Linked DNA regions of Neodiprion lecontei. The protein of the gene in region 2 purifies or fractionates together with the protein of the main gene of each other region. This does not show direct contact. Links are inferred from orthologs where the notes say so. Each region holds a gene or a part of one and is shown on either strand. Other genes may lie near its edges.

What was found.
Region 1: the proteins of apoptosis-inducing factor 1, mitochondrial (region 2) and thioredoxin-2 purify together in Homo sapiens (affinity purification with mass spectrometry; 3 studies listed by BioGRID and IntAct, with this or other methods). This does not show direct contact. The link is inferred for Neodiprion lecontei from reciprocal best matches to the Homo sapiens genes AIFM1 and TXN.

What each region holds. Positions count from the first base shown.
Region 1 is NC_060262.1:7,921,663-7,933,437, forward strand, and holds thioredoxin-2, read right to left. Parts: upstream 6,276-11,775; 5' UTR 6,108-6,275; coding exon 6,084-6,107; intron 1,089-6,083; coding exon 972-1,088; intron 874-971; coding exon 760-873; intron 643-759; exon of another isoform or gene 642-642; coding exon 579-641; 3' UTR 223-578; downstream 1-222. UniProt on the Homo sapiens protein: Participates in various redox reactions through the reversible oxidation of its active center dithiol to a disulfide and catalyzes dithiol-disulfide exchange reactions.
Region 2 is NC_060265.1:5,858,471-5,870,486, reverse strand, and holds apoptosis-inducing factor 1, mitochondrial, read right to left. Parts: upstream 7,724-12,016; 5' UTR 7,651-7,723; coding exon 7,560-7,650; intron 7,183-7,559; coding exon 6,875-7,182; intron 6,785-6,874; coding exon 6,730-6,784; intron 6,520-6,729; coding exon 6,371-6,519; intron 6,311-6,370; coding exon 6,180-6,310; intron 6,091-6,179; coding exon 5,915-6,090; intron 5,831-5,914; coding exon 5,639-5,830; intron 5,465-5,638; coding exon 5,268-5,464; intron 5,177-5,267; coding exon 4,924-5,176; intron 4,783-4,923; coding exon 4,598-4,782; intron 4,481-4,597; coding exon 4,208-4,480; intron 4,118-4,207; coding exon 4,046-4,117; 3' UTR 3,491-4,045; coding exon of another isoform or gene 3,374-3,490; 3' UTR 3,286-3,373; coding exon of another isoform or gene 3,070-3,285; 3' UTR 2,986-3,069; coding exon of another isoform or gene 2,808-2,985; 3' UTR 2,508-2,807; coding exon of another isoform or gene 2,191-2,507; 3' UTR 2,117-2,190; coding exon of another isoform or gene 1,766-2,116; 3' UTR 1,686-1,765; coding exon of another isoform or gene 1,489-1,685; 3' UTR 1,414-1,488; coding exon of another isoform or gene 1,089-1,413; 3' UTR 912-1,088; and 1 more. Other genes in the region: protein broad-minded-like, read left to right, coding at 1,089-1,413, 1,489-1,685, 1,766-2,116, 2,191-2,507, 2,808-2,985, 3,070-3,285, 3,374-3,490; uncharacterized protein LOC107221093, read right to left, coding at 8,044-8,094, 8,181-8,395, 8,474-8,626, 8,754-8,757; T-complex protein 11-like protein 1, read left to right, coding at 9,972-9,982, 10,193-10,312, 10,479-10,592, 10,687-10,981, 11,077-11,595, 11,686-11,870, 12,006-12,016. UniProt on the Homo sapiens protein: Functions both as NADH oxidoreductase and as regulator of apoptosis.

The DNA.
Region 1 (11,775 bases), on a different chromosome or scaffold from region 2:
TATTGTATTCTATCATAAAATACAATTGCTTTTTGTAGACAAATCGGACAGATATTCGATAGCAACTTAAATCGAAGTGTTATGTACTGCAATGAATTTTATAAAAAGGCCGATATAAAGCGAATGAAAATGATTTGGCTGAAAAATTACTGATGATTGTATAATCATAATACTTGATGAGTATGATTATATGATACAAGTGCATAATTACAGCATCAATGATTAAATTCCAATGTTTCCTTTCCTTTATTTTCATTCTACTTCAGTAATAACAAAACTGAACATTAAACTGTTTATTGTATACAGATTGGTATGTAATAATAATATATCTGTGCGACGGCACAGCACAACAGTTTTTTACTGGATTTTTTCGTCGACAAATGACGCACTGACAATAAGCTTAAAAATGAGCGGAATATTTCAATTTCTGATTTCTATATACATATACATACGTATATATATATATACATGTATATATTTGTATATACTCATACGTATACATATATATGTATGTAATTATTTGTGTTTAGCATTGTTTACAATTAAAAATAATGGAATAGATTTCTTTTCACAGATTTTCACTTGTGTTTCTGAATGGTGTTTTTTAGTTTGTCAAAATTAGCACCGGCAAATGACTCCAGCTGAAACAATAATTTGCGATATTTAATTAACAAATATTTCATGCAGCATGTAATTTGCGGCGCAAACAGAAGTAGAAAATATTCAGAGTAGAAAAAAATAATGTGAGAAGCTTCTTACCACAGCAGAATTTTTTATAAAAACGAAGGTGGGCATGCTGGATATTTCATACTCGAAGGCAATATCCTCGCACTCGTCGACATCAACTTTGAGGATGATAACGTCATTGAGTTCCTGGAGAGGAAACAGGAAAATAAATTTGCACAAGTTCACATTGAAATGGAATTGTATAAAAATTCAATGTCCATCTGCAATTAGCATTTTGTTTTTACCTTGGACAATTCCTCGAGCTTTGGTGCAATCATTTTGCATGGTCCGCACCAAGTAGCAAAGAAATCTATGACGACCAGCGTATTTCCAGCCTCACTCAATTTGGCCTTGAGATCAGCCTAAAAATAGAGCAGAGAAATTGATTTAGTTTATTAAGAAAAAAGTGCTCGATAAGAAATGAATTATTTTCATGAACAGAACACCACGATAACTGAACTGTAAAGAGTCGTCTCGCTATACTATATTAACACATGAACAATATTCAATTTCACGAGGTTGAAGTTAATAATGTTATAGAAACGAAACATTGAGGAAAAAATCACTCTTTTCTTATTTTTACAATGACTTTGAAGGAACTAAGATATTGAAATATGAGTCTGTTATGTTTTATTATGATTCGTTGAATTGAAAACAATAACAAAATTGCGAAATGGTGGTTTTTCCTTAGCATGAATCATTAGGATAAGGTTACTAACTTCAACATGATAAATTTCTCGAAACAATTGTACTTGACGAAAGTAAACCACTGTTTTTCAAATGTTCCTTTATCCCAAGTTGTAATTAATTTAAGCAGGCAAAGTCGTACAAACATTAAATTAGCTAATTGTGCGGACTTTAAACACGTGTATACAAACGTGCAAGCGAATATTAATACATAATCCTAATAAAACTGCCAGTTAATTTCAACTAAAGAATGCAGGTCGAGTGTATTAAAAAAATTGGGAAAGTAAGATGAGCTCAGAAGACGACAATTAAATGAATTGCGTACTAAATATTGTAGTATATCAACTATGGGTCATAGAATTCACCTTTGACAATATGCTGATTTAACAGTGAAGAACTAACATGACCATTGTTTCTCTTCAAGGAAATTTTTATATGTACAAAATGTTGTCACGGCAACCAGGAAAAACAAGGCCAAGTCCTACTCTGTCGTGGGGTATGTTAATCAAGGTTTGTAGTCCTATTAATAGTATTATAGAACGTTGAAGATAGCTCAATCATAATATCGATTTTGTTACTAAATGGCAAAAAATGACATGTTTAGTATAAATATTCCAGGTAATTTAGACTTAGTATATTACGTGAAAACACGCTTCTGCACGAAACAATTTATTATGCCAGAGTTCTGGAATAATTTATGAGGGTATAACGTGGCGTCTCAATTTGTATAAATAGGTATGTATAGGTATTGAATTTCCTCTCACAAATTATTCCAGTTTTATCAGTAATATAATTGTGCATGTAATACATTCATTTTGTCAGACTCTAAAACCTCGGCTTAGTGTACAAAACCTATAAATAGTTTATACCTCTCAACTTTTCAGTACCTGCTAAATTCTATCGCACATAAATATATAACAGTATCTCACAGTCATTAGAATCGATTGATTTCATGTCATAGTTTTGACAACCCAGATACTTCTGTCTGGCAATACAAATAAAAAGTATGTGTTATCGTTCTTTTTTAGATACTAGACACTTGCTAATGTGTTTAAAGTCCAACAATTGACAATTGCCTTAGTGATGTCCTTATTCATCAATCAAATATTGTTTATCTATGTTCTCAAAAATGTTTTGTAATATTAACAGGTTTGAATAATCAGAATTGCAGACTTTTGAAAACTAAACATCGTTATTGCAAGTCATGGACACGTTAGAAAAATTGGGCACCCAATGGGTGTGATTTCTTGATGCGTTTGATGGATTTAAATGAAACCAATGCTGAAATGTTTCGATTCCTTAATAAAACATTTCACCGCTGGTTTCATTCAAATCCATCAAGCGCATCAAAAATCACCCCGTTAGGTGCCCATCTTTGGGAGTTGTTTGTATCCCTCTAAACCGTTTATTAGCAGATAAAAAAATATATGAGTCTCTCAGTTTCTGGTGCACAACAACAACATATATGAACTAGATCAAAATCGAAGGGGTCGACCTTCCTAGTGTTACACATTAAAACTTGGACCAATTGCGTGGACCATCATAAAATTTCATTCGATTGCAGGATTACTGAAAGTTCATATGATTTTTCAAACTTTATCTCAAGTTTGGATATTACCTAAATACATGACAAGATTACGTGATACGAAGTCAAATTTCATGTAATTTTTTAAGATAACGTAAAATTCGATAAAACTTTCAGCCAACCTTCAATAGGATACGATATCACGAAACTGTGCAAAATGTTACTGAGTTTCAATGAAACAATTCTATTCGTAGATTTAAAAAATTTCGGTAAACTGTACAAGATTTTGTTGCGTACTTTTGTAAGGTTTCGCTAAAATGTAATAAGTCTCTTCAAAATTTCAGATAAAATTGTACAACATCTCCAAGAGATCTGGCAAATTTCATACTCGAAAATTTGGCAAAACTGCTCCAAATCCTTATCAAGATATTTGACGATTATGCCAACCGAATTACATCACACACATGTATATATACCCCCCCCCCCAAGGAATATAGCGCGGTCATGGTTTTGTGAATTGCGCGAAGTGTCGTAGTTTGTGAAAAAGATTCAATAGACCGCGGAATGTATTACTCTTAATTGAGATGTATATAACATTGTACACGCATGCTCTATATATAGCTCAAACAGATGACAACAAACTATCTCGTTGACCTGTACTTTGATTAACGCTATTCCAACAAGTCATTCTTGCGGTGTCGAAAACATTTAGTTCCCCGCAGTACATTCTCCTTACCTGACGTAATATGAATAGTATTGAATTGTATTCCATGAGATACAGATTATATTACCACGTAGTCAAGAAAATGCAATTTTTCGTGAACAAAGTATTTATACATTTCAACTTTCCTTGCCCAACATAACCGATTGACATGATCCGTAAGACAGGCGGAGAATATCAAGTAATTATTACGTTTCCATTGTATACTACACGGAGAAAGGATTTGTTGCCGTAAATTCAATAGGTCTTTTTATTTTTGAGTACATTTTTAAACCATGATTTAAAACACGAATTAAACAGTGAAACTTCCTGATAGCGGAAACCTATTTGGGGATGAAAGTATTGTCCGCTGATGACAACATCTGCTATTCGGAAGAATTTCCGTTCTATTACTATTACATTTTGCTGGAAATTTTTTTAAGAACATCCGTTATAAAGATGTGCCCGCTATTAATTAAGAGATGTTCGATACTTACTGTATGTAGAATATGGATACAAAATCGGTGTAACAGAATACGGTGACGCTGTAATCGCTTCAATCGTTGTTTCTTAACTCCTACATCTCCTTAATTAAGGAAGTTCCCTAGTCTATTTCGACATTATCGTATACATCTCAAATTATCCAAGTCCACGTATCTCAAACGTGAAAAAGGGCATAACAGCCCCATTCTACATACAGTTCTGAATAAAACCATTCTAAAATATTTTCATTTAACATAAAAATAAAGGAATGGTATGATTTCTACGATTTCTTCGATTTTGTAAAACCCGTGCCATTTGTATTGTGAAATGTATTCGAGTGTTTTTGTTCAGAATGGTGTATAGAATTGGGCTGTTAAGCTCTTTTTCGCGTTTGAAACACGTGGACTTCGATATTTGGAGATATATACGACAACGTCGAAATCGACTAAAGGGCACGTCCTTAAAAGGTGCATCAAATCACCGGGTCACGAGAAAAGTAAAGAACCAAACAAATCCGTGAGCCAATTCATGTTACAATTAGGGGTGCGCGGTATTTCGGTATACCGAATTTTTTTTGGCATCTCCTTGCTCGAAATGTATCGGTATGGGAACCTTCTGTCAATACCGATACCGAAATATCGAAAATTCGGTAAATAGCAAATAGTTACAATATATCTGGGCGAAAATTAGCTAACGCACACAATCGTCTTTCCGCTTTTTTGCAATCCGTCTGCACATATATCTAACATAGATTTCGTCATTGCGGTGATAAAGAAAGTATTTGAATTTATTTTCATCGTCATTTGTTACGTAAGTGAATATGACTCCTAATCTACCTACATTCCAAGTTATATCATCGAAGAGCTAGATTATGTTCATTAAAAATCAAGATTATCACAAGGTTGAAGTTCCTAAGGAAACAATAGGGAAAAAATCACTATTTTCTTATTTTTACAATGTCATGAAGTATGATTATGTTTTGTTTTATGACGGTTTTTCCTTCGCATGAATCGCATAAATCGTTACGATAACGTTACCAACTTCAACATGATAAATCAGCGACGCATCCAGTTCAGTTAATTAGAGAATCACGCCTGTTTTCATTCGTAATCGCAGCGACGGTTGTTTGCCGGTTATCAATAAAGTATTTCCGGCACATTGCATCGAGCATTGCGAACTACATAGTCGATAAACCTACATGTACTTAAGCCGACGAATTGCAGATTGCGTAGAGTGTACTGCATAAACTACGTACTCTAAGGACAAAAACGAATGTCCGAGCATAGTGTTGCATAATGAGAATCACATTTCTCGAATTCGTAATTATTTGGCTCGCGATTTCTGGTGTGATCAATATTGCAAAAGCAAGTGTGATACGGGCGGTCGAGGAGCGAAAGTCGAAGAGAAGGATAAAAGAGGCCGAAAAGAGGCGGCAAAAATGCCGAAGTTGTATGTGAGCCTGATGAGGCAATAGTGCGAAGAGGAGTGCCGACATTTTATCAAATGATATCGCTCAGATAGTTGGTCAATTATCAACAGATAAACAATTCGGATGCGTAAACGTGCTGTACTAATGCGTACTTAGGCTTTAAAGTTTCTACCTGTGTGCACTGAGAGCACACTCTACGAACGCGTTCAACCGAGTGTGATATTCTTTACAAATCGGCACAGTCTTAAAGATATAACGGTTATAACGCTGGACTTGGTTAACTTCGGGAATAAGACATACGTCCATCGGTCACTCTGCCAGCTACAACTAACACGCCACGCAGCAATTATTTCCTTCTCTATTTCTTATCAAGGTTATCCGCCCGCCTATTTCTTCACCAGCGTAATAATCTTTAGGTTAAACTTGTTCATCTGGTTAGTGTTCTCGTTCAACATGTCACTTGTATTCATTTTGTTTCTCACTCTCTCGCGTTCTTCCGATTTTTGACTTATTGTTAAAGGGAGTGGACTTACCGAGCTAGTAATTTGGAGAACCATTTTTAACGATGAACGAGTTGCTTTCCTGCGGCGTACTTCGCGATGCGGTCACTCGATTTGGTAACTTCGTACTAACTCGCGATATACAAGCACTGGAAGGCTGTACCTGAACTGCCCAGTTAAAAAGTGAACGCAAAACTTGGGGAGTGGAGACCAATGATCAAACGACGAATACCGCCACAGTATCGGTGACGCCACTGTCGCGGATACGACGTGGTAGTGGAAGGTGGCTCCGAAAATTCCCGAAGAAACCCGAACCGATAAATGGATTGTTATCAGTACAAAATCGATGTACAATACATTCGTGAAACATTCAGCGATTCCTGATCACTATTTCATACGGTGTCACTTCCGGCTTCATTATTTGGGATTGAACCTGCAGTGCCTTTCCTTCACACTCTCAATACACTTTCGTTTGATTATTATTTTTCATATGTGGAAGCGGGAACGTCATTGTGAATCATATAATGACCGAGGGACCGAATTGTTGCAATATCTTCCGGAAAAAATTTCCCTTCAAGTTAACCGATTATTCGAAACTTAGAATTCCGAATAATGCAGACTGTATATCTACAGGAAAGATGGAACAATCAAACTGAAAAGAATAAAAGAATTTCCGAATAATAATGCAATATTTTCATTTCTTAGGATTTGTATAATTCTTTGCCATAGAATCTGGAATGGATCGATCTTTCCGGATTATTGTGAACTTGGAACAGAGCATTTTGTGTGATTGCTCTGCGATATTGTTCAGAAATTTTGAATTTCACATTGTTGAATTTTTGTCGCGCGACGAAAGTATTGTCGAATTTTTCTATTCCTTCAAACATTCTTCGAATTCAGCTAAGACTGCTAGTTATTTTTTGTATCATGCAGGAATTGTTAATAATTGTTCCTCACGTACACAGCATGTATGATCTTGAAAATACCGTTACTTTATATCATTAAAATTTTTTACAAGTATCATTCAAAAGAAATATTTCTCATTTACATAAATTTATATAAACTTTTGGACTTTGATATCTTACGCATCACAAAATCTCCACAGTTATACCCCCTTAATTGATCAAGAATTTGAATATGTCGTTGTTTCTGATAAACGAATTAGCAATAGAACATATTTATTAGTTTCTCTAATTGCATTGCAAGATTCCTGAAAATAAGGAGAAAGTACATATTGGGAAAATAAATTTTTTTTTGATTCTCACATTTTCGGTAACTCGGAAGCTTTTGTTTGTGAGGATTCGTTGTATCATGCAAAGGAATGAATAGTAACCAATTGCCAATTATTCCTCAGTGTAAAAGACTGTAAATGATTGGCTGTATTATTTGACCACGTTATGCTCATTTCTCGTCATGAGACCGCAGCCTCAAGCATGGTGGGAAGTCTCAAGGATACCCACCGCCAGCGCTATATAGAGCTATCTACAAGTATGACTTAATTGTAAGACGTGTATAGTAAGGTTCCGGTTTCAGAAGCATACGAATGTGCGTGTATGCGAAAAATAATGTTCATGCGTGCGTTCTTCATGTAATGTGTTTATGTGTAAGAATGACAACGTTATAACATTCATCAATGATCGCACCGCATACGATTACCTAGCTTGGGTACAGTGGAAAAACGATATCGAATATCGCAAGCATAAGGCTGATTAGACAACAGTATAACCATATTGTTAATAAAATATGAATTAATTTAGCAATTATTCCATCCTTTGATAAATTTTATTGCCGTATACTTTCGAACGCGGATGTTTTTCATGTTGTGCACTTTTGTAAAAATTCACTTGTTTATAAAACAATATCATCCCTCTTGGAACTATGTGAGCATCCAGCTATTGTATTTAATGTTGATTTTTTCTATTGCACACCATGACGACATGTTCGATTACGATTATTGCGTGAGAGATACTAGACACGTCATTCTGACGCATCATGTCTAGCCGCCACGGTTTAAACTCGGCATCATCACAGATTTAGGAACCCACCAGTCAGCCATGCGATTGCGATACCAAGACCGAGCATTATACATATATTCCTACCTATTCCAAATAGGTGTGTATTGTACATCAGAGACGTACAATACGGTCGATTCTGACCCCGCCCTTAAATGTTTCAGCGGGTCAGAAATAAGCTGGGGAGAGTACTATGTTGAAGGTCGCCGACGCTAATTTTATTTCTTCCTCTAGAAAATTCCGACGGTCAGAATTAAAAGGAATCGCGCGTGAACGCAACTGAACTAAATTAGTTATTTTCGTGGCAAGTGCGCATAAATAGAGATTCTTTGAAGAGTGTCAAGTTCCGCGCAAGCCAAAGGCAAGTGCGAAACTCATACGAGTCAAGAAATCCATAGACTAAAAAAAAACGTTATTGGATTTAATAAATATTAATTGATACAGATAATGCATGAGTTTGTAAAGTACTTAGAGCACATTTATTCAAAGCGACACAATTCATGTAGTTTTTAATTTAAAAAATACGTATTTAGAATCAATAAAAAATAATTTAAATGAATTAAGTAGAGATTAAGCGACATAACGCACAGGAGTTCCTCTTTAGGTTTGATATTTTTGTCCAAGTGCTGCATGCTCTACTCAAATGATGTTTACAAGGACCAATGGGATATTCTTCCGTTCAAAGAAGAAGTGGCATCGTATAGAAAAAACTGAAATCACAACGACTAACCCCATATTTGGATTAATAATGTATTTAATTGATTCAATGATTCCTTCAGTATTTGAGTGTTATACCAGTTCTGCGAACACGTAATGCAGTGCTCTAGGATATATATGTAAATGTAGTTTTAATTAGCTGCTGGGTGACATAAATAAAAAAATTTTCTTCATACGATATACTATTGTCATTGACTGCCACCAAACAAGTTGTAGTAGCGTCACTCCAAAGTTAAGTAGTGTTTGGAAAACATGATTGGATCAAAACCATAGCCCGATAGATCGCATCACATATGGTTGGCAGATTCGTAATGCGAAGGATTCGGGTATATGAAAAACTTTGAAGCTACTTATCAAGCGGGACAGCTTGCTGACTACTGACCGAAATTGGTACCACTTCGAATGAATTTATCATTTCGGTTGAAAAACACGAAACATGCACACAAAGAATCAGAAGACTATCAACTCAACAAAAATTTTATTTCAGTGAAATAATGTTAATTTCGTAGAAACAATGATTCATTAGTTTCGAGCGCGTATGCAAGTATCGAGAGTTCTTGAAATCAATTTAAAGTATATATTTGCAGATTTCAACTACATGTGATTGTTTCAAACTGAGAAAAGTTATATTTCATTGTATTAGTCGATAACTTGAATTAAATGTGGTACATATAGCAACTCAAGAACTCTTTCTTGGTTCCACTCAAACATATCCTCATTTACTTGAATGATTTTTTTTATTTGAAGTTGCTATATATATATAACTTGATGAACAAAATAATATTCTTAAATGAATATTAAAACTTGTCTTGTGAAACAAATTTTTGTTTCAACATATTGTACATTTCTTTGATTGTAGTTATCATTGAATATGTCGGACAAATATTACATTGAGTCAAATATACTATCTGGCAATAACGTTAATATATCAGTAAGCGTGGGATTATTGTTTCTAATCTCTCGGTACTTTTGAATCGATGTGTTCAGCGGTGAAAGTACTATTCTTTCACGAAGTAAATAAGGTTTGTTGATTCAAGCAAAGTTGTCGTTCCGCAATTTTTAGTTTAATTCAATGTAATAAATATGTAACTGGTTGAAATACATTAAACTCGAAAGCATATATATAGCATTCAAATCAATGCATCAATATTTTTGTTTCAACTAAAAAGTAGTTGTTCTGAGTGAGAAATCTTTCGAACCAAATAAACTGTAGATCAACAAAGTTAGTTGTTTGGTTCGATAACTTCTTTTCTCGGTGTACTCGTATATGCGCACATGCCACAAATACTATTTTCTGTGCTACTTCCGTCAACGACTCGACTACTTTGTAGTTTTTATTAAAGCACTAGTGCGTAAAAGTCGACTTTAACGCACTAGTACTCAAAAACTAAAAAGTAGTCGAGTCGTTGACGGAGGTAGTGCAGAAATCAGATTAAAGTTTGTGTATTGTTCTCAATATATAACAATTATATCCACAGATTACACAGATACAAAAGAATAAATTTTACATTTATTACAAAGTTTACTCGACAGTAAATGAAAAATTTTGTGTCTGAAACGTAAAAATGATTTGTAGTTTTCCCTTATCATTGTTACATGCATAATAAAAGATTCTTTACGTCTGAGGTCATTTGATTTGTTCAAAATCACTCACGTAATATACGTAATAGCATCGTGTAGTAGAGGGGTACACGTCAGAATATGCATTTGGTAATATTAACAGTATGATATCCACAAAGGTTACTGAACACGCGACGAAGCCGTGTCAGAATTGCACAAAACGCCCACCGAAAGATGCACACCAAACATATCTATAGATAACTGTAACTGAGATCATCATACAAAGTGACTTGTTTGTATTCTATCATGCAACGATCCAATAAACTATGTAATGAAATGAAAGGACTTGCGATACTTATTATCAACTATAGGAAGGATAAGTAAGATTTTTTATCCTTCCTATATCACTGAACCACAGTCAAGAAAATTTCTTCCTATTATCAAAGTCTACACATCGTTGATGTGACAGTATAAACTATATTCACAGCAATTTTATACATGCAATGTCGAACACAAATATTAAAATAAAAAAAAAAAAACGTGCCGCTTTAGACTGAACGTAAGCCAGCCTTCGAACTACCGGTTTTCACAGCGTAGGTTCCATGTTCACAAAGCAAAAAAATATTGATATCAAATTCGAATTTCAAACTACAAATTCAAATCCGTGATTAGAGATTGAAAGGCCCTCGGATACCATGTTACATGAAAATATTACGATTTTATTTTGAACCAATGCAATGGATCCACTGTGACATCAATTTTTGAAATCTGACCTTGGATTCGTTATCGGTAACCCAAAAATCCTCCAGCTACTAATTACTAACAAAATCCGAATGTTTTCAGATTTTTTTTCTACAATATCAGATTCTCCATTTTGTGTTTCACGTATCTAATTTTAGATTCGTGATCAACAACCCCAAAAACCTTACGTTACCAATTTTCATTCGAATCCAATCTCAAAGTATCATCATCTTTATTCTATTTTTGGAATGTTGTTATTTAAATGATTCAAACAGTACTGAACCAATCAAAGCCAAAATCTAATCTGTTCTAAGTTTGAAAAAGCCACGTCAATTGAGACCAAAATTGCTGAAATCCGATAACTCGTTCCGGAGATATCTTCGGATAAAAAATTGATCACACACATTCATACATACATACGTACATACAGATTTCCAGCAGAAAATGGTCGGAGGTGATTCTCTAGATCTTGAAACGTCGAGATCTATAGTGATATCTCAACTTTTAACTTTCGGGGCGATTACAATAAATATTTTTTTTGCTCTGAAGGCAGAGAAACGGTAAGTTAATAAAGAATTATATTACGTAACAATTATTCCAGAAAATGTGTTGCTATAATTGAATCACCTGCACTAATTCCGTAGGAATATATTTTCTGGTGCTATTTGAAACGATTTTCAGATTCAAGGTCGAAT
Region 2 (12,016 bases):
CAGGAAGAAACTTTGAAAAGCAACAGAAACACAGAAAAATTGTTAGAGGAAATGATGGAACAATTTCTAGCTTTTCTAAGTTCTCATACTTTTGGTATTAGCAATCAGCTGCATATCCTGACCACGCTCAATATCTTGTCAGTTTTGGAGCCTAAGTCAGACTGGTCCAGAAAATGGGCTCACAGCTTAACAACGCTGAAAATATTAACAACTGCTCTAGGAAAATCCCCTGCATTGTTACAAAGCATCATCTATATTGTAAGGGTTGGTATGGTAGAATCGCCAGCGGCTCTTACGGCACATATTAACGATGAGCCATTTGAAGTAAATATCTCTGGAGACACCGTCAAGACTGTGACGTATCTCCATTCTCTGTGCTTTTTAGCTCAGCTTTGCAGCAAGGCTGCTGGTCGACTGTTACTGTCTGAAATTCAACTGAATGACCCGTTCAACGTCCCTGACTTTATGCTGTCTCTGTTGAATTCGTTGAATATTTTAGCACTTTCAGAAGTCCCAGCAAGCATTTATGATATTTCTCGCTCAGCTTTGCAGAGGCTGCTCGATTCTCCATCAGTTTTATATGATGCTAGGTTTTATCAACTAGCTCTTGATCCGTTATTGAGAGTACCACCCCAAACTGAACGTAAAATACATCCTCACATGATAGATGTGATGATGCGAGCCTTGAATACGGAAGAAGGTTCGCGCTTTATAATCCATAACTCTAGTGCATTCTCATTGAATTGTAAAGAAAAATCGACTGCTACTTGTCCAGCAAATGCAGTTTTGGTATACGCTGCAGATTTGTTGCGGCAACCACTTTCTATTATGAATACAGAGTATGTGATTGATTTGCTTAAATTCATAGGAAGATTATTTGAGTGTTATGATGTATGTCACGTGGTAAAATATATTTTACAAGATGAATTTTATTCAGCAATCGCCCATCTGTACAACAAAATGGATAAGTACTCGATGGAAAATGAAATGAAAAAGCAATCTCTCGATAGGTAGGAAAATATCATTTGCTCTTAATTTTAGATAATGTTTCCTTCATTTCATTTTTCTTTTACAGAGCAATTAAGACTATGCTGCTTAAAGTGGTTTCTCTACCTCTCGCTTTACAGTTATTGACTCGTGAGGAGTCAGTTTTTGAAGAACTGTTGCGAGGCTCAATAGAGCCACTCAAGTCGTCTTGGAGCTGTAATAACGTTGTTGCTGTTTTGTCCACTGCGGCTTTGGAGCCAGTGGGTTTTACGATCTTGAGAGACCTAGCCCCTCACTTCTTATCAAAAGTATTAACTGATATTTGCACAAAGTTAGAAGATCCTCACAATTTTCATGATCCTTGGGAAGATTGTGTTGTAAAAGAGTTTTTACACATCCTAAGACTATTGTCGTTGAACAGCTTGTGTACGTTTAATCAGCTCTTACGTTATATTAATATTCAAATTATGCAGAAACCTATTTTTCAATAATTTTTTACAGGCTTCATCGCTCTATTGGATGATACAAGTCAAGAAATTTCATCTAGCGAAGACAGTCACCCCAGTAATTTATGGGAATTATTACAACATTCTGTAAACTCTAATTCACCATATCACTGCCTTGCGCTTATGGCGCTGAACGTTTTCCTCGATAGCTTGGATGCAAATATTTTTTTGAAGCACGTACTGAATTATCAGGTACGAATTATAAAAGAATTCAAAGTATCTACAGCTTGATTTATGCAACAAATCAATGTGAACTTTTGTTGTTTGTAAAGGAACTACTCCTCAATCTTCAAGAAACGTGTATCATCGAGATAGAAAGCGATGGCGAACTTAAAATAATATATGCAATTGATGAGGCAGGTTTCCTTCGCCACAAAGTACTTTTGAAATCCTATTGCATTATAAGTAAATTCATTGGTGATACAGCAGTGCTAGAGCAGACAGAATTGTTTTCTAAATTACCGCCTCCTGTGAAATTTGATGTGGAAAAACTTTGCCCCACCATACCCTTACATTCAGAATTAGGAAGATTTCTCCAAGAAAATAAGCCTGGACTCAGAGATAATGGATGGGTGTCACAAGCGAGGAAAGCTCATAAGATTTCTAGTAAAGAACCAATACAAGTAAGCATCAAATTTCAGCAGATAAGAGTTTCTCTTTTTCAGATCTGATGTTAAATTTTTTCAAATATGTTTAGCATTCCGTCGTGATTAATCTACTTGATCAAATGCAAAAGGCAGTTCCTGAATTAGAATTGACAAACCATTTCGAGTGGCCAGTGCATAATGATCACGACACACTGATGCCCCAAGAAGTTTACGGCATTGAATTAACTTTGCTGTACGCAGAACAAAATCGGCTTATGAAAGTTACGTCACTTGCGAAAACAAACTTGAAAATTTTCTTGAAAGAGGTTCACGGATTCATTAAGTATTACGGGTGGAAAAAAAATTTTGAAGGATTCGACTGGTTCATTGCAAGTGTTTTTATTATTTGTAATGGAGATATGGACAGGTGAGCATACGCAATTTTTAATTTTGTTGCCTCAGGTGGCCGCGAATCACGCTTTTCAGAAGTAAAGTTCTGTAACTAATTGCCGCAATTTGTTAAAGACCTTGTACTTTCCATAAAAAGTGACTCTAGCAAACCATATTTCATCATAGGCAGGTCTCAGATTGAAAACTTCACCGTCATTGCAGTAGCTTGAAAGTTACGTGGCTCAGTTTTAATGGATCATCACTGACCTGCCAAAGTTAATGTAAAAATCAAAACCAATTTTACATCACTTTCCTAATGAGTTGTATACTTTTCAAGGTGTAAAACTTTCATCACGCAAATAGTTCAATTCCCATCGATTATGTACATTTGGCCTATGCTAGGGAAAGCTGTGAGTCGTGAACAGAATTTACCTGTAAACTTTCAAACCACATTCTCACATCTCCTGGAAAATATCGTTGCAAATGAATTGCCTAGCATCAAATACGCTTTAAAGGTTTTTGTCTTAACATAGTGGATTTTTCAAAACTCAGACCCGGAATTTTTCTTAAAAATAATATGTGTCTGTCAAATTTCACAGAACAACTGCGGTACAGACTGGTGGATTATTTGTGATGAAATCATATCTCAATGTTTCTGGAGGATACTACCATGGTGCGAAATCATACATTTGCTAACCATTTGTATTTTGTATCCAGCTGACTATCCGTTGTATTACTGTACATCGTTGTTACACTACAGTCAAAACCAACTTTTAGAAGATGTAACGGCTGGAAAAATGTGGCCAGAACATATGGTGCGTAAAATTATTCTCGTAGCTTAAAGCAGCGAGAGTTTTCAAAAATCACAGTAATTTTATCGTACATATGATTTCAATGTTACAGGATTTAACTGACTATCGATCTGGAAATCATTTACAATTGATGGATCTTTTATCGAAACGGTATCGCAATATGACTTTGCCCCTGCTTACATACCAAGAGGCAGCGTTAGTTACATGATTTCCTATCTAATTACCAAGACCGAACTTCTTCCAGAAGTAATAACAAGTACTGCAATAAGCACAATACTTTAATATGACAATCATTTAATTAAGCACAGTGTACGCAGGAAATTACAATAAAATGTATGTTGATTACTGTTACTACTGCATAGTTTTTGCAGGTGATGAGAGTCACTAAACAATTAAAACCAGAATATTTACTTAACGGTGAATAAAAACTATCATCCGTATTCACCATCAATGATGTCCTTTATTTTCTAACAATGTGCATAATTTAGCGTTCGATATTTATATATTTATTGTAATATAAATGCACATAGACTTTGTACGATTGCGAGAAAATGTGACAATTACCCGGGTTTCGGATAAAACACTAACTTCCTGATTCTAAGAGAAATGATATCTACAATATTTTATGTTTCCTAAAGTTTATCTGTCAAATCATTAGAGATCGTACCTTAGTACAGGGTGTAAAATACATACAAGAACTAGATAGCAAGTAACACGAATATTTACAAACAGTGATTCGATGGTAAATGCAACTTCAGTGCCATCAGTCTTCGTGAATGCTAAACAGTTTAGCTACCTCGTTCAGATCGTCGTACCTTGTTCCACTAGCCAAAACCTGGAGAGTTAATTATTCGTTTTATCAGATCCCAAATATATCATGCCCACTGGAAAATGAGCATAGAAATCCATGAAAGTAGTAGCCTACCTGTCGAGCAATGGACATGCGATTGAATATGTTCCACAAGACAATGCCGACTACGACGTCATCGCGTATATAGAATATAACTCCCTTTCCAAAGTCGTCACGGGGCTTCTCTACTTTATTTCCTCCCTCGTCTTCACATGATTTACTGTCTTTTTTGTCACTTTTGACATTCTTTATAGACTCTGCTGACTTCAACCCTTCTACAGGTGCGTGCTTCTGGGATACCGGTGTTGCTTGTATAATTGCTGCCGATTTGTTACCCTGTGAATTGTGCTGCGGGAAGAATATACAATTAAACTAAGAACAGTAAAAATTGCTTACAATCATAATGCAACATGATGTATGATATTTCGAGATAAACCAAAGATAAACCAAACTGCATATTTTCACCTCTTCACTAACTGATCTCAAACCCTCGTTGGATGCAGTGACAGCAGCAAGTGGGGTGTCTTGATCCGTTGCCTTAGCAAAGACCCCTACTGTTGGTAAGGATGCGTCAACGATCCCTATTGCTTCGTAACCAATTTCAGGTCCAAGATCTGACCAGAACATGGACTGATGCAAGTAGGGTTTACCTGAAACAGGACGCAAGTTTATAGATTCATGCTCTACAAGTTAATCGATGAGTACTGCTATTTGATTGGTATAAGTTGCAGTAAACGCTATTTCTGCTGTTATTAAGCATCAAATCTATGGACAAAGAAAACTTAAACTACCAGCGCCAGTCATATTTTCGCCTGCTAATCTTCCAGATATAACAGCGTGATCGTGATGCTCAACTCGCCTTCTGCCCAATCTCACGTCATAGAAACAAGCTGCATCCCCTGCGACCCATAAATCGCTCCTTGCTTCTAATTCAGCATTAACAAGATAACCACCAACTTTTGTGTCAATTTCAAGATTAGAAGATTGAGCTAATTGAGTATTCGCTTGCGCACCAACTGCTACGATTACTTGATCTGCGTCAATCTGTTAATTACAAACACAGAAATTCCCAGTTACAAAAATATAAATCTTTAGTCATTATGCCCTTCATTTTGTAAATTAAGGATTTACTCACTTTGGAACCATCTGTTAAAATTAGTTTCAAGTGCCCACCCTTCATTTCGACATCTGCAACCTCAGTTTCAGGCATACATCTCACTCCTTCGAGCATTGCTTTGGTCGTAGTCCATTCACTCAAGTATTCAGGCAGCACTTGAGCCATTATGTATTTTTCTTTAAAGATCTGATGAACCGTTTTTTGGTCTGGATTTACTGCAAAATTCAAAACTCAGTCACCAGAGCATTTTCACGATACCTGCCAGGATTATTCACACACATTTGAGTCCATTTGAATTTTTTTCCTTTCATTAGATAATCTGTAGCACCAATCAACTAAAAAATGGTTGATAACCGAGTTGTGCAACGAAGGTGCAGAGTAACACTTACAGTTTCTGACCAAAGAACACGCAACTTCGGAACCAAGGAATCCTCCACCAACAATAACTATATTCTGTACTGCTGAATCACGAATGCTCTCCTCTAGCTTGAGGAAGTCTTCTATTGTTCTGAATGGTACGATCTTACTTTTAACTGCATCATCCGCAGTTTCAAATATTGGAAGGTTCTTGGGCGAGGCACCTATAGAATTCATTTTTCATTGAATTAAATATCACGATAGAATACTTAGTATATAGCATTATTTGTTTCGAAAGGTAAACACACCAGTGGCTAATAAACATTTTTCATATTTTATTTTGTGACCATCTTCAAGTACTGCCGTCCTATTAACGACGTCAATTTGACTAACTTTCCATCCTAAAGCTACGCCGATACCTCCTTTATGTGATTGTGCTAATTCTGGAACAGGAGTGTAAAATTCTGGAGGCTCATAGAACAAGCTGGGGAGAAAACGAGTGAGTTATTCAATTGCATGGTAAAAACTGCATTAAAGCTCAGATTATCCACCGGATCATAATATTGTGACTACCTTCGGTCTGACCCGTTCCATTGTTTGAATTTTAATTTCTCTGTAGTCTCTCTGTCTTTGTTATACCAAAGCTCTTTGGACAACGGGGGCCTCATGTAGGGGAGGTCCCCTTCTTCCGTTACAACCAGAACCTAAAGTAATGAATAGTGTGAAATAATCCAATTCTTATGAGAATCTGTAGAATCAACTACCTTTGCTGTGGGATCTCTTGATTTTATAGACCTGAATGCTGAGAAAGCAGCTGTTCCTCCCCCGATCAAGAGGTAAGGAATTTCTGTTACTATTTCTGAAGAGACAGCTGGAATCTTAACTTTCTTTCTCTCTGCTTTTTTCTTCTTCTCTGGGAGAAAGAAATATAAATTGTAGTAACTACTCCGTAGACCAATAATAAAATTTGAGTGGCAGATAAGTACTACACTTTTATCTCTACCTTCTAGTTCAGTAAACTTATTCATTTCATTAAGGCCTAATCATATTTTACTGAGTGATAATAAACTGGCTCATTTTGATATATTATGTGCAATATTAGTTATCACAACTCTAGTCTTACTTTGTTTCGGTATTTGAAGCGTTTCAGATGTTTGCAACCAGCCCATTCGATTCACCTGCAAAAGCATTAAGAATTGTAATTTCTTCAAATAAATATTGCAACTTTACTTCCCTAAAGTGAAAAGTTTCTTTCTCAATATAGTTACCATGTACATGGTGGCTCCAGTGATGAAGAGAGCAGCCAGCAATTGCATCCATACCCGTTGCTGCTTCTTGCGGTTGCCATCCTCCTCGAATGGTTCTGGCCTTTTACCACAATCCCGGTTGGGACTCAAAGGGCATTCAACATTCGGATCGATTGGACAAACAGGATCTGAGGAAAATGATCCCTTCGATTTCGACTGATTTGAAGGAATGCATTCTTCCGCTTTCAATGTAGTGCCAGGTGGTCTGTTAGGATTACCCGGCTTCTTATCACCGGCATCGCTGTAGTTTCGACTGGCATTTATAATACCTGAAATTTTTTATGTGCAAAAAAAAATTAGAAACTAAAATGATGTCTTACTCACGAAATCTACTGAAAATTATATTTGAATTGTAGGTTAACTGAAGTCAAATAATCGCCGCAGGGTGGTTCAAGGTGTAGGGAAATCAGTGAAAAATCTGACACGATACTTAGTTTTCTGAACGAAAGGAGGACAGTTAAAAATATTCGTATTTTCTTTCTGATTATTTGTACAACTTTAGGACTCGCTTATCATCGACTACTAAATGTACGTGTTAAAATCTTCGAATAGTCTAGAAAAACATCACGGTGCCGCATGAGGTTTTCGGAAGTTATTCGATAGACTTTAACTTGACAATCAAATAATTTTTTCGTTTTATACTCACCGATATATTTTAAAGGAATCTGCTCGTAGCTCAGGCATGGTTTTCTTGTAATTTTTGATAAATTCTTGATCGCGTACCCGTATCTTAACATTTTCACAAATTACTTTTGGTGCTACGGGCGCGCGGCCCTAGACTCTAAGGGCAATATGGCGATAATCCCGGTTATAGTTAAATTTTCGATTTGTGCCTCTGATGCCGCCACCTGTGACCAACACGCTAGGAACTAAACATATATTTTTTCGCTCCGCATTTAGACAGCGCTCTGTCTTACCGAGCGGACCTGGACAGAGAATCCTAGAATTTAAAAAACTTGGGGGACATGACGTTAACATTGTTTATAGATTAGATATCGCATTTTATCCCTGCAAGATGTAAAGAATACGATTGAAAACAAATAACGTAATGAACATCGACTAATTCAAGAGATTTATTTATTGGAGTGCTACAGAAACAATTCTTGTTCCAATCGTTTCTCAATACTTTGTCAGTAAAATAGCGGAACATTGTATCCTCGAACGTATCCGAATTTGTGCATCTGTGAAAATAGAAATTAGAGTGACACTTTTATGATTAAAAGGCATAATTTAGGTTGAGATTTCAGGGATGCATTGACATTCGTACAGCTATTATAGTGAATATGAAAAATCCTCCTCCGATCATTAAAGCTCTATTAGACTGCCTCATCTTCGTATCAAACTTCTGTTGCCACGATCCACAGGGAACTGGCAATTCGTCCATTAAACAAGTATTTTCGCACGGCTCAGGACATTGAATTGGTGCATAACAATCTTTCGAGAGCAATACTCTAACTGCCCTCAACTTCCGTGGAAATTGTCCTAAGATATGAAAAATGTGACTTTGTTGACAAAAATATAATTACATATAAAAGAATAGTGATCGATTCTGAGATTTACCCAGTATCATTTTTCTGGAATGAAGAATTCCAATTTTGCAGCATGTAAAAGTTGCGCCACGCCACATCACACGTAAAATGTACGCAGCAACTTTACGTTTACTGTTTACTGAGGCCCACGTGTTAATGTCTTGACCACGTTTAACTCGAGGATCTATATTAGAGGATCTCGTATTATATAGGAACAGACTTTATGGAGATTGAGGGTCGACTTCCCAAGGAAGAGGAAAAATAAATTCAAGGAAAACTACAACGGTCCAAGCTGCCAGACGTTCTCGTACCCATTTTGGGAGAATATAAAAATGAAAATCAACGAGTTGCCACGAGTGAAAGACAAAGGAGTTGCGCAGGTGGGTGTCGTCTGCTTGTCGGCTGCTGCAGGCTGGTGCTGTCAATAAATATTGGCCAACTTCACTTTTCTCCATCAGACTCCAGTCGCCTTCGCTGCACTTCACAGCAGTCACACGAGCCCGCAGCACTCGTAGCAAGCTTCAAAGTTGTAAACAGTATCACAGCTGTTCCGGACGTAATTAACCATTTTTAACTTGTAATTGGTGTTTGTTTCTGAATTCCAGTAAATTAAAAGTGTTTTATACCCATATAGACTGCACCACTATTTCAAATATTTTTCGAACAATCTGCAGTAAAGGTACAATGCCGATGTTACTATAATTTTTACTTTTTTTTCGTTGAATCCTTTCAAGGTGAATGAATCATTTGAACGATGTGTCATTCACCTGCCGATACGCAGTTAGTAGTGATATAGGTACTGCATTAAATTGTGATGGAATTTTCTAGAATAATTTCAATGACGCATCATTATTTCGGTACTTATCTAAAATTTACACTTTTTTTCGTGCTTTTTGATCCCAGTTAAAACTACATCTTATCATGAATGTTATTAAAAATGTAACCTCAAGATTTACTTTTCGTGTTTACAAACAGATCAATACATCCTCATACTTGTTATATACATGGGTTTACAAAGTGTTATCTTTGCCTGCTAAACTTCTGTTGTCCGTGTTACAAAGAAAAAAGAAAAAAGTCGTCAATTCTACATTGATTATTGATTAAGTGATTGCATGTTAATATTCATTGTATTGAAAAATAAATAACAATTTCCATATCTTATTTAAGGAAAATCTTTTCTCTCCCTATTCGTTTAATTCAGAGTAAATCATCATTGTGTTACCATTATTTATACACACTTAAGTTAGTGAATAAATTAAATAAATTTATGCAAACAGTTTTAATGTCTGACCGACAAATTGGAAATAGGAATTAGCGATCACAAGGAACAAAATAAACACTCTGGAAAGTGGCTGTGTGTTTCCATACTGTCTTGCACCAAATGAAGTTCTTTTTATAGATAGCGTCTGACCTCTTTGGCTACAGCTGTTAGAGCATTCAGCTAGTGGTCGAATTTTACTTCAAACCGCGTTGCTTCTAATTTCCAAGTGTTTTGTCTTTCAATTTGAATTTTAAAGTTTGATAGAACAATGTTAGACAGGTGTGTCAATAAGTGAAAAATTTATCCTCAGACCCCAGATTTATTAAGTCTATCGCAATTGAAAATTCTTTACTAGTCCTAACATTAGAGTAAAGATTGTCCGTTTTAATGGAATATTTAACATAGATTTGACTGTGACTCATTTGAATTTGATTAATTCTAGATTGCCTTTCGGTAAGATTGTAATTTATTGCCCTATTTGTACTGCAGGTATAAAGTTTTACGCAGTGCTGGTGTGGTATGGGGAATTACGATCTGTTGTCTCTTGTTCAATCGCAAATTGCCAGGCTCGAGGATATTCTTTAGTTTAATCCCTGCTTTTCTTTGGCGGTCAGTACTTAAAGCAATTACTGCGATATATCTTCGACACTTAATTGGTGCAAATTTTAATAGAAATCAAAAAATTCATGCAATTAATATATATTAAAAACCCTTGAACTGTTGTGTGTCTAAACTTAATTCTGAACTTTAATAAATCTCAGACTTTCTGTTACAGAGGTGATAAAATGAAAAATGAAGAGGAGCAAAAATGTAATAATAACCAGGCTAGCGCGCCAGTAGAAACTCGTGTGGACAATCAAAGATCAGCTGAAAACAAGAACACGCAACAGTGAGTTTATCAATTTAAAATTCTAGTGCCTAGTGCACAAGTTTTTAAACAAATCATTTGAAAAGAAAACTCAAAAATTTTTTCTTCAAAATAGATCGCAGGTACAAAACTTTATGCTTGGAGGCCTAACCGGGGCATCTCCTCCGAAATTTGTGTCCTTTGAAGAAATAATGAAGGCAGCAAATGGTATGACCAATATGGCCCTAGCGCACGAAATCGCTCTTGATAAAAATTTCAAATTGGAAACGCTGGATCCACCAAGTGACAGCTTTCAAAAAAAAGTTAAAGAAACAATGCATAATATATTCTGGCAGCTGTTAGCCCAAGAGTTGGCCGAGGATCCACCAAATTTTAATCAAGCATTAACTCTTCTTGGTGAAATAAAAACGGTAATTCAAATTTCCCAGTTATCAGCTTTCAAATAGGTCTGAATAGAATTTGCATAAGTGTGTTAATATTAAAAGGCCCTGATTTACCTCCTCAGGCTTTAGAAGAACTCCTATTGCCTCGGCATACGAAGATACGAGAAAACATTAACGAGGTCCTGGACATTGATTTAATTAAACAGCAGGCAGAGCAGGGAATTTTAGATTTCCATCATTACGCTAACTTTATTATCTCCATTATGGCAAAATTGTGCGCACCAGTCAGGGATGAAAAGATTGCAGAGCTAGCAACATCGACCGATGTTATTGAGACATTTAGGGGAATTTTGGAAACTTTGCAGTTGATGAAGCTTGACATGGCAAACTTCACGATAACTTTGATAAGACCTGAGATTGTTGCATCTAGTGTTGAATATGAAAAAAAGAAATTTGCTGAGTTTTTGAAGGTCAATGAAGATGGTCTCCAGTTAACGAGAAAATGGCTGCTCCGAAATTTGGATATGGAAAAATTGACCACATCTTCCACGGATATCAATGCAGTTCGTCAAATTACACACAGCTTACTAACTGAGGCGTACTTAGACCTCTTAGAATGGAAATTCAATCCAGATGCAGAGGTACTTAAGCTTATTGTTCATTATATAACTGTGCAAGATGAATTTAGTAACATTCTACATGTACTATACTGTTTCTTATTCCTATCATAGACGCTGATGATGGACCAAGGGCGATTGGTAGAATTACGCGATCGAACCTGTAGATTATGCATAGCAGGATCAGTGTTGCTGGTAACTAACAACACTATTGGTGCCCCCCTTCAAGGGGTTACGAGTTTTAAGAATAGCATGAAACAGCATCTCGCCGTGCTTTTGGAATCCGTTCATTCCAACGAGTAGGTTCAAACACTATTTGCGATTAATCCCTTATGATTTTAGAATTGCTAGAAAATTTTACAAGCTTTCATGATAATCAAATTTTGAAGCGTTAACTTTGTCTGATTTAGTTTCTCAACATTTTTTTATTTCAGGGAGCTGGCAA